3 linked regions of the Xenopus tropicalis genome follow. The protein of the gene in region 2 purifies or fractionates together with the protein of the main gene of each other region. This does not show direct contact. Links are inferred from orthologs where the notes say so. Each region holds a gene or a part of one and is shown on either strand. Other genes may lie near its edges.

What was found.
Region 1: the proteins of cttn (region 2) and flna purify together in Homo sapiens (affinity purification with mass spectrometry; 3 studies listed by BioGRID and IntAct, with this or other methods). This does not show direct contact. The link is inferred for Xenopus tropicalis from reciprocal best matches to the Homo sapiens genes CTTN and FLNA.
Region 3: the proteins of cttn (region 2) and asap1 purify together in Homo sapiens (affinity purification with western blotting; 6 studies listed by BioGRID and IntAct, with this or other methods). This does not show direct contact. The link is inferred for Xenopus tropicalis from reciprocal best matches to the Homo sapiens genes CTTN and ASAP1.

The regions. Positions count from the first base shown.
Region 1 is NC_030684.2:31,756,514-31,760,686, reverse strand, and holds the start of flna (filamin-A), read right to left. Parts: upstream 2,880-4,173; 5' UTR 2,745-2,879; intron 1-2,744. UniProt on the Homo sapiens protein: Promotes orthogonal branching of actin filaments and links actin filaments to membrane glycoproteins. Anchors various transmembrane proteins to the actin cytoskeleton and serves as a scaffold for a wide range of cytoplasmic signaling proteins.
Region 2 is NC_030680.2:14,584,590-14,587,581, forward strand, and holds the end of cttn (src substrate cortactin), read left to right. Parts: intron 1-955; coding exon 956-1,092; 3' UTR 1,093-2,444; downstream 2,445-2,992.
Region 3 is NC_030682.2:142,077,361-142,081,015, forward strand, and holds part of asap1 (arf-GAP with SH3 domain, ANK repeat and PH domain-containing protein 1), read right to left. Parts: intron 2,980-3,655; coding exon 2,910-2,979; intron 2,742-2,909; coding exon 2,683-2,741; intron 2,394-2,682; coding exon 1,891-2,393; intron 1,742-1,890; coding exon 1,619-1,741; intron 936-1,618; coding exon 861-935; 3' UTR 1-860. UniProt on the Homo sapiens protein: Possesses phosphatidylinositol 4,5-bisphosphate-dependent GTPase-activating protein activity for ARF1 (ADP ribosylation factor 1) and ARF5 and a lesser activity towards ARF6.

The sequences.
Region 1 (4,173 bases), on a different chromosome or scaffold from region 2:
AGGCATTAGAGGCACTTTATATTGGGGTATTTTTATGACCCCCTGGTTTGAATTCGTATGGGAGCTTTGTATGTCTTTGATGCAGTTCTATGGCGGTTCCTGCACTCAGACATGTTTATAGAGCATAAACACAGTCCTTTAAATACAATGTTTCCTGCAAGATAAGTTTATCTTCCCCATAACTTCTTCCTGCAACAATATGATGCTACTGGCGCAGGCACGGCCGCTGTCTACTGAAGGGGTTAAGGGCTTTACCACCTCTTGGGATTCTGTAGTTCTGTATGTATGATGGCAATGACATTATTATCATAAGAGTCTATGTTCACATTAACCGAACTGCAAAGGTAAACAATGTGGCAGCTCCCATTTATACTGTATATATATATTAGCAATTAAGTTTTGAGCATGTACTAATACATACCCTCAAATTTTACCAGACACATAACCCAGACTACGATATAGTAATGCCGAGTATCTAGTAACATATCCCACCATACACTGTTAAGTGATAATGCCTATCCAAAAGAGCTAAGGACAGTGACCTATCAACCATTTTTTCTCAGAGGTAAGTGGTTCTATTGCGCATCCTTATGTCACTGGGGGCAGCAGAACAATTTCTATTCATGATATTTAAAAGCCATGAATTATACCTTTATAAATGGTGCTTAGTGATGTTTTCAGATATAATCGGTGCTTAGTGATGTTGTTTGTGTATGTATGTATATCTTTATTTATATAGCGCTACTTATGTATGCAGCGCTGTACAGCAAAACAACAATTAAATACAATATAATAAAACAGGGGGGTCATTACAATAATAGATAATGCAATAAATAGGTACAGTTGCAATAAGTTAAGAATCAGAGACAAGAGGGTGGAAGTCCCTGCCCCATAGAGCTTATGATCTAAATGGGAAGGTAACACAAACAGGAGGGTAATTAGTGCTGCCGGTTACAGTGAGTGACACTGCAACGTTTGTATTATACAAAATACTGTACCCGCTGTAGTAAAATATAAGGATATTAGAAAAAGTTCTGTGACCTATAGCTCATTGTTTCTTTGATGACTTCTAATATCCTTATGTTTTACAACAGGGGGTGCATTATTCCCTATACTTGGTGATGTCATCATTTGTATTCAGTGCCCTTAAGCCTTTAAAGGTATGCATTAGTGCATGCTCAAAACTTAAGGTGATATAATGATATTATGAGTTCACTTATTGCCTTAAAATCTTTATATGGTCAGGAAACTTGGTGACTAACAGGCTTATATGTTGCAGCAGGAGGCACATCATTCTGCATGGGTGCACTCACAATGAGGAAGGTATGGGCAAAGATTAGGCATATCATTCGTACGTTTAAATGCAACGATCTAAAACCAAAGGATATCGTCAGATACACAATACACGTGCAGATTTTATCGTTTTGCAACCAATATTTTCTAACCCGGCCGATCGGCTAAACGACTGATCTCCATAGTAAGAGAATTATCAGGGCGACAATTCTGAGCCCACACACGGTCTGAAAATCATACAAAACTAGGATTCATACCATTTTATCAGTACGTGTATGGTCAGCTTAAGATGCCCAGGGAGATAAGCACTTGCCATAGAGTAAAAGAAAGGGGCAGTTAATTGTAGGATACAGAATTATTTACTGGCATTAAGAGAAATGCAGTATTTGTTTATCCTTTTCTGTTGTTTGGTTCTGACTCTTGAAACAGTGTTGTAGAAGTCAGATCCCCTCCAAGTCTGTCAGCTAAATGTTTTAGGAGTCAAAACCAGGCAGTAATAAATAGAGTAACTGTTTGCTGTCACAGAAGGGACACAAAGTGCTGCCAATGCCACTGTCACCAGCTGAACTCTTTGTCTTGAGAAACAACAGCAAATTGTAGGTATTTTTTCCCAGTTTGTTTGTTGTGCCCTGCAGCCTCGTTGCCAAGCAGTACATATAAATCCAGTGCATGCAGGCACTAAAAACACTTTCCCGGCTCACAGAAACTATCGCCTGAATGCAGCCTTATCCGGCAGCCTCCACACCCCTTGTTCTCATACCGGCTCCCAGTACAGAACAAGCACTCTGGCAGCTCAGTAATAAACTTTAGAGACGGTCCAACATACACAAAGCACAACTGTTACAACTATTAGGTGCAGAAAGACAATGTGCAGGAAGTATCCAAAGCTGTCCCAGCCATGAGGGGTAGAGTGGTTCCAACAACACGCAACTTATACAGCAATCACAGAACTGTCACAGCAGCGACACACCTAAGGTGCAACATTGTGCAGGTAGTGCAGAATCCAGTGCAACCCTGGCACAGCAATAAACTGCAGGGGGCTCTCATAGGCACATCTAGGGGCCAACAGTATGCGGCTGCCATATACACCAGCCCAATGAAGCAGTACAGTATGTACTTGTTCCACAATATAAACACACATATAAATGGGGTCACATCAAGTGTAGGCATCTTCAAAGGGCACCACAATGTGCAGGCACCTTTCTATACCTCACACACACAAATAGCAAACAAAGGGCACCACAATGTCAGACATACAAGTAACAAAGTCAACACAATGTGCAGGCAGCCCACTCAGTCAGTGTCAGACATACAAGTTGCAGCCCTGTTACAGCATTAAAGTAGGCACCAAAAGAAGGGACAACATGTTCAGAAACCCTACACTGCACAGGTAAGCCACACACACACACACAGAGAGAAGAGCAGTTCAGCTGCCTGGGTCCCCCCCTTACCTTTGCCTTCAGTGAGTCCCAAACTATAGAGGAGAGCAGCTGAGCCTGTGTCCTGCTCTGTACAGGGGGGAATGCCTCGCAAGTAGTCCTGTCAATAGAATGACACCCCCTTGATCTGTCTCTCCTCTCTCCCTCTCAGATTGAGAAAGCCTTAATTGGTAAAATAGCAAAGAGAAAGGGGGGGGGGGGGGGGGGGGGTGGAGGATGAGTTTTGTTAGGAACCCCGCCCCCCCCTTAAGCTTTGGGATGAGGTCAGCCTTCATTTTCTCAGAAGCCTGAATTTCTGCACAGCCTCAAGGCAGAGAGGGGGAAAACGGGATGCCTGCTCCTTAGGAATTTAACCCCTTCTGCCCGGCTGAGGTGCGGGGGGGGGGGGGCTTCCTTGATAAGCAGATAACCCCCAGGCAGAACCCTTCTCAGTATCAGGACAGTGATTGTAGGCTTTTTACCGCAGATCTGAGCTCATTTCATTCATTTTTGGAGATCTCTCTCCCCTACAGTAAACATTGCAGCTGCTGCAGAACATCTTTGGGTGGCAACTAGCAGTCACCGCTCTGCTCCACGAAATGTGCCTTAACAGAGGGAGTATTTCATCCCCGATCCCATGTAAAAGAGCAGCGGTTGGAACTTGCTTTCTTGGCATGAGTTCCCCTTGTGGCGCCCCAGAAGGGTTAATGTTCTGCTCCTGACACTGGGGCTGCTCAGGATACGCTGCCCGGGGGGCGCAAAGGGAGGCAACAATGTACATAAATGTGTCTGTTCGCCTGCCCGTAGATCAAACGACTGAGCTCGGTATCCGCAGGGGCGGGGCTATACAGACACAGACCGTACCACTGCTAGGGGGCACTGACTGATAAAACGCTTTTTGGAGAAGGAGGGCTAAAATCATTTTGCTGTGATGCCCAGCAACTATCGAGGCCACTGGCTATCTGCCATGTTTATTTCCTGCAGTGCTTCCTCCTAAAATTCCATCATAATAGCAACATCCCTAGGCAGGGCATGGTTTCCTTATTGGGTCTTTGGAATAATGGCGTCATTAGTGATGTCACTAGTGCCTGATAGAGATGAGCAAAGTTATTTCTGCCAAAAAAATGCCCATCAAAACCCATTGACTTCAATTTTGTGAATTTTTGCCATTTCGTGATTTTTTTTTGGCAATGAAGTGAGATAGGACATCACTAGCGCCTAAATTACTTGGCACAAGTCAAAAATGGCTTTCATGCTTAGCTGCACCCCATAACAGTCCTGGAAGCTCAAGGGATGGGGAGTTGGTGGTGCCATATATAGAACCCTGCCACTGTCCAGGCCCCTCCCCAGGCTCCCCTGCGGTCTCAGGGTCTGCTGTATGGTAGTTTCCCCACTGGGGGCCACCTGCTTAAGAGTACCCTGTAATTACTATCAGTTCTATGCTCTGTGCAACTCTAGGGGG
Region 2 (2,992 bases):
CGCTCTGGGATAGATTAGTAACCCTTTCCTCTCCTATCATGGCACAGCCGCTCTGGGATAGATTAGTAACCCTTTCCTCTCCTATCATGGCGCAGCTGCTCTGGGATAGATTAGTAACCCTTTCCTCTCCAATCATGGCACAGCTGCTCTGGGATAGATTAATAACCCTTCCTTTTCCAGCTGAGAAGGACAACTCCGCTTCTGCTCAATAGGTATAAGAAAGGTTTTTAGACTTTTGGGTTGAGGAGGTTATTGTCTGTTCAGTATTTGGTTGGGCCCCTCTCAGCCCATAACAAGATTGCCTTGGCCCGTGTAACAGCCCCCCCCCTCTGTAGCTGCAGGAAAATGCAGAGTCCCAGACATAGTCGTCCTACTTTCCATCACTAAAGGGCTTTATTTTTGGGCCAATCAGATGCATTTAGCGTCTCCTTTTCACACCTGTCTGGTTTATTCATTGGGCAAAGGGATATGTCTGCTCCTCCCTATCCCTTGGTACATTCCCCCACCTTCACTCATTTTGCCTTTTTTTTCCTGCCCATTTCAGCCTGATTGCATCCCATTCTCTTGTTGCGTTGCTACGGGCGCCTCCCCCCCCCCCATGCTGAGCTCCTATGGAACATGCAAAGGGCAGTGTGGAAATGTCAGGCAGTAGAAGGTTTGTATGAGTGGAGCAGACAGTTCATAGATCAATATCCCCGGCCAACTGTACATCAGGCGGCAGTTGCAGTCCCACTGCCATTCTCTGACCTTTTATAAGAGCACGGGGCGGCCGTGCATCCTCCTGTAACTCTTTCATGGCTGGCTGTACCTTTTGTTTTATAGGGGGGTTTGTCCTGTGCACGGTGCTGCCGTGTAAGTGGGTTTTAGTATGTTGCTACGGTCCAGTTTAACCTAGCAACCAGGGAGACAATCACATGGGAGAAAGCCACTCACGACTTTGCTTTTTTGCCCCCAGCCGGCGACGACGAGATCTCCTTCGACCCCGATGACATTATCACAAACATCGAGATGATCGATGACGGCTGGTGGAGAGGTTTCTGCAAGGAGTGTTACGGTCTGTTCCCGGCCAATTACGTGGAGCTTCGTCAGTAAGGCGCCCAATGCCGCCATTATCGTTAGCCGGGGGGGGAGGTGCAACGCAGCGGCATTGCCCCATGAATGGCTACATTGCAGGCTCCTCCCCCTGCGCCTCGCGTTGCCATAACTAAGCTGGATCCTTACACTACAAATCATGAGTTTTTGGAGAGGGTTTAGATTTTTTTTTTTTTTTTCAAATAGCTTTTTTTCTGGCTTTTAAGGAGCAGTTTATTCTGCAGACGGGCAAACGATTCTTTTAATGACTATTAACCCATTCGCTGCCAGATGTGCCTCCGCTCCATTGGACAAATCTTTTTACATCTTTTTACATGGTGCTGTTTCAGCGCCGGGGGGTTTCGGTTCTCTCTCCATTGTTTCCGCAGCGCCCGACTGAGGCTCCGCCTCTCGTTTCTTTTGTCTCACCTGCATTCATTGTAATCAGTGGGTGGTTCTTCTGTCTCCCCCATAATTCTTACCCCCTGGGACACGACCCCCAAATACACAACATTCTACAATTGAGCCGCCTTACTGGGATGGTCAAGGAGACGCCCCTCGTTACCCCCCAAATTTAAATTTATTTGTCCTGTTTTTTTTGCTCTTAGCTTGGCCTTTACCGTGACCAAATTAGCATCATGCGTATTTGCCGACAAAAAAACATACTGTGCGTTCTGCCTTTTTTTAAGCAAACTGAACCGGATCAGGCTGTGATTGGCTGACATGCACTTGTTGTCCCAAGCTCCTCCCCTGATTTAACAACCCCCCATCCCTTTGCCCATTATACCCAACAGAAACCCGTCAGTATTATCAACACGCCATATGGTGCTCCTGCTGAGCTTTTAGGGCAGAAGTGACACGCCTGGACTCCTGGTTACTATGACAACCCGTGCATCTCCCATTAGGCTTTTCCTGTTGGCAGGGAACCATTTCAGAAAGAAGATTTGGCTCCCCCAAAGGGCTGCCCAATCACCTACACTGTCCCGTGTCGCCCTACAAATATGGCCATAAGGTCTTGTAAATTTTTCTTTGCAATTTACATTTTCTTCTAGTTTTCAAAATATTAGCAGTTTTTTTTAACAGCTTCTATAATGAATTTGGGACAACAGTGCCCCCTGCTGGCCATTTCAACCAATCACCAGCAGGTTGTGCTCTTGTTCCACATTAGATTTTGGACCAATGTTTAGGCTGATACTAATTGGTGCGGTAGAGGGCGGTGTGCGCCAAGTAGGGGTGATTTCTTTTTGGGGGGGTGAAATACATAAACGTGGGTGGGTTTTTTTATCCTTAGTTCCTTTTATCTGTTTTTTGCATACAGCACTTCATGTATGATTTTGTAAATGATGCTTCAATAAAGTTTTTTTTTCCAACCATGATACGGGCGATACATACAGATTGATATAGACGTGGGAGCTGCCATATTGAGGGCGCACTTATAGTGTAAGATATATTAAAAAGCTGCTTGGAATTATATTTTCTTTCATTATGCAAAAAAGTTATATTGGGTAAACTTCCCCTTTAAACTGCGCACCACACATGTGATATACCAAGGAATGTGGCTGTACTATTGGCTAAAATAACGTATTGAAGGGACTAGGAGAGAGCAGGATGGGAGGTCCCTGCCCCGTAGAGCTTACAATCTATATGGGAGGGTAACTTACACACACAAATGGGCAAATATAAGTGCTGTAGGTCACAGTGGGTGACATTACAATATAAGTGCCAGTTCCCAGATCAGGGGCTGGGCGAGTGCTCCAAAAGGGAGACTTTTAGTTTGGTTTTAAAAAGACTGGGGGAGGATTCTCTCCGGAGGAAATCAGGGAGGGCATTCCCAATGTGAGGGGCAGCAGGGCAGAAAGGGTTAAGGCGGGAAACTGCAGTAGTAGTGGGGGGTGCAACCAAACGATTGCTCTGCGAGGAC
Region 3 (3,655 bases), on a different chromosome or scaffold from region 2:
TGTACATAACCGCGGTACTAATGATATTTATTACTGAGAGAGGGCTCGACGCCATATTTAACACTGTCTGTTCCATGTGGCTATTCACATGGGGGGGAAAAAATAGAATCTCTGCGATGGCCCGTGACTCCCCCCGTTGGCCCCATTTAGGGCTACAATGAAATTCCTGTTTCCGTAAAGGCAGGTTCAAGTATGCCGGAATCGGGTAAGAAATGCATGCATAATGTAAACAGACTAATATCGCTCTCATTCGTCTGAGTCCGACCAAACAAACCGCAAATGTCATTTAGAGATATATATATGTGTGTGTGTGAGTGTATATATATATTTATATATGTATATCCTTCTAACAAAAGAAGTCTTTAGATAGAAATATAGCTTTTGTTTTCTGTACTACTTGTAGCAAAGTAACGGCATGGAGGCGGCCAATGACAGGGAACAGACACAGGGCACATTAATACCATCAATAATTAAAATCTACGTGGAATTCTGCCATTGATACAATAAATACCTAGAGTCACTGGTTGTGTTCATACAGGGGGGGGGCTTGTTGGCAGGTCCGGGCAATGGAGAAGCGGTTTCCCCGGCAGATATATAGTGTTGAACGGAGACAGCCCAGATGGGGAATGTTGGCAGGGATGGATCACAGCTTGCCCAGAGGCCACGGACGGCTTCCAAGTGTCCCCCTTGGGCTACTGTAATACTGGCAAAGGCAGAAGGACGTTGTACACTGACAATACACATATAGAGTTCAGCACAAGATGAAGGTTTGGGATGAAATGGACTGTGTAACAGCAGCTTATATACACAGAGTGGAGCACAGAGCGGATTGCAGCGGGGGGGCAGATATGCTTTGCTTATTATTCAGTCAACAGGTGGACGAAGGACACAGGGAATACTCCTTTCCTGTCCGGGAAGCCTTCGATGTGCCCAATCTGCAGTAAATACACAAAATGAGATGATTAATAGACAATCACAAATACGGACATAATTAGCAAACTGCTTTCAGCTAAACAATTGTTTCTCCTACTCCCATGTAACTGGTGGAGTCCCAAGCCGGACTTGGATTTCTTTTTATTGAGTGCTATTCTGATACCTACTGGGAGCTGCTATCTTGCTCCCTTCCCATTGTTCTGCTGATCGGCTGCTGGGGGTGAGAAGGGGGGGGGGGGGGGATATCACTCCAACTTGCAGTGCAGCAGTATAGTGTGCCTGAGTCTGAGCTTTCAGAAGGAGGCAGTGCTACACATTAGAACTGCTTTCAGCTAACCTATTGTTTCTCCTACTCCCATGTAACTGGAGGAGTCCCAAGCCGGACTTGGATTTCTTACTATTGAGTGCTATTCTGATACCTACTGGGAGCTGCTACCTTGCTCCCTTCCCATTGTTCTGCTGATCGGCTGCTGGGGGGGAGGGGGGATAGCACTCCAACTTGCAGCGCAGCAGTAAAGTGTGCCTTAGTCTGAGCTCCCTTCCCATTGTTTTGCTGATTGGCTGTGGTGACTGGTGGTAGTTACAGTGCCAAACCCGTAGCTATTCCTTTAGCCACAGCTTATATACAGCAGTATCATAGAATTATCCCACCCTATAGTGTATCTCATGGTTACAGGATACTCACCCACCACTCCTGGTCCTCCTCTCCAGTGACGATAATCACTTCCCCCTCCGCAAATGTGAGTTCATCATCATTGTCCGCTTGGCAGTCGTATATTGTTTTAACTCGTTTAAGCTTATTCTTCCCCTTTAAAAGAAAAAAAAAAAGTCAGTTTGTTCCGGACAATGATGCTGTTCTAGATCTTCAACCTGGGTTGTAGGGCACCTCATTGCTATGATTATTGATTGTGATTTATCTGCACATTTTACGAAATGCTGACTAAGCACAGAACTTACTGTGTTTATCTTTCGGGGAAGTGGCACGGGTGTTTCTGGAAGAGGCGGTGGGCCATTATTGGAAGTTTCTGGAACTTGCTTCTGGACAGGGGTTTGGTCCGTGGGCTGTGCATTATGGGTCGCATCCACCGGCTGGGAATTTTGATTGGCCTCATTGGTATGAGGTTTGGGGACTATATCCGCAACAGGAGTTTTGCACATCACCTCTGCCAGGTTGGGCTTGGGCGGAAGATCTTTCAGCTGTGGCTTTGGAGGTAAATCTTGCGGTTTCGGGGGCAAATCTCCTAGCTGAGGTTTAGGAGGCAATTCTCCGGGCTTGGGAGGTAGATCTCCGACGTGTGGTTTCTGGGCGATATCCAAAGGCTGCGGTTTCGGAGGAAGATCTGCAATTTGTGGCTTCTGAGGCAGATCTCCAGGCTGGGGAGATTTCTGGAAGATTTCGGGTTGCTGGTTATACTTATCCATTGAGAGATGATGAGTGGTGTCTATTTTCCTAAGTGCCACTTTGGGGACAAACAAAGAAGGATAATGAGACATCTCAGAAACAATCACTGTATAGACAATTAGCCTTTATCCTATTTTACATATGAGTATCACTCATGTATTATAAGGGATAATGTACCCCCTACTGTAAATGATAAGGATATTAGCAGTCACTGAGGGGTTCTGTGCCCATATAAAGGCACAAGGCTGACGGCTGAGTTATATTATAAGGGATAATGTGCCCACACACATTTTACATATAAGACACAGGAAGGAAAGGAGGAGAAGACAAACTGTAGAAAGACTAACCTTTCTGAGGTAGTTTTGGTAGGACTCTTGGGCCTAATGCAGTCTTTGTTGTTCCTGTGCTAAAATAACAAATTAAACATAAAAGTACAAATTATATATATGTTTCCAGGTTCCTCTCCACAAAGAAAAACATTTCCTGCAAAACAAACTGAATTATTCTTCATCTTTTTACTCTCTGACTAAAGTGAATGAGACCCTCAACTTAAAACCAGATGTTAATGACTTACCCTGATGACTGTGACAATCTCTCAAACTTATTTAGAGTTCTGTCTGCAGCACTCGGGCCCAAGTCATTACCTGCCGGAGATAAATATACATAAATAAATATTTTATAAATGTAAAACTGACCACAAAAAGAGTATCAGCCAAAATGGCCTTTAGAGAGGGAATATACAGTATTTATAAGCAGGGGTATCTTACTGAAATGTTTTCTACATGACCTTATCCCCAATAGAGGTGCTAGTTTTATTCCAGCAGTATGGCAGCTTTCATGCTAGTATATTTGTCTACTTAATGACATAGGAATGGGAAGACACCCCTGCAGGTAAATAATGTATATTGTGCCGGCGATTGCCTGAAAGCAAATTTGCAATAAAATAAAGGCCTTAGAGAAGAGAGAGCAGCAAGCTGGAAAAGAAAGACAGAAGAATATCCCAGTGTTTCTGCTGCTGACAATTATTTTAAATAACTACTGCTCCCAGAATCCTTAGCTGAACCGTGCAACTCACAGGAGCCATTGGGCTGCAACATACAGATCGCTGGCTTTAACTGTTTCTCTTTGATTTAGAATGAAAGCAACATAGATACTAACAGATATATACTTTGTGTGTGTGTGTGTGTGTGTATATATATATTCTCCTTCGGGAAGCACTCACGGTATTTGTGAAAAAAAGCGAGTATTTATTTACACAAAAATGTCTACGCGTTTCGATCCATATAGGATCGTCATCAGGACCATATAGGACGTCCTGAT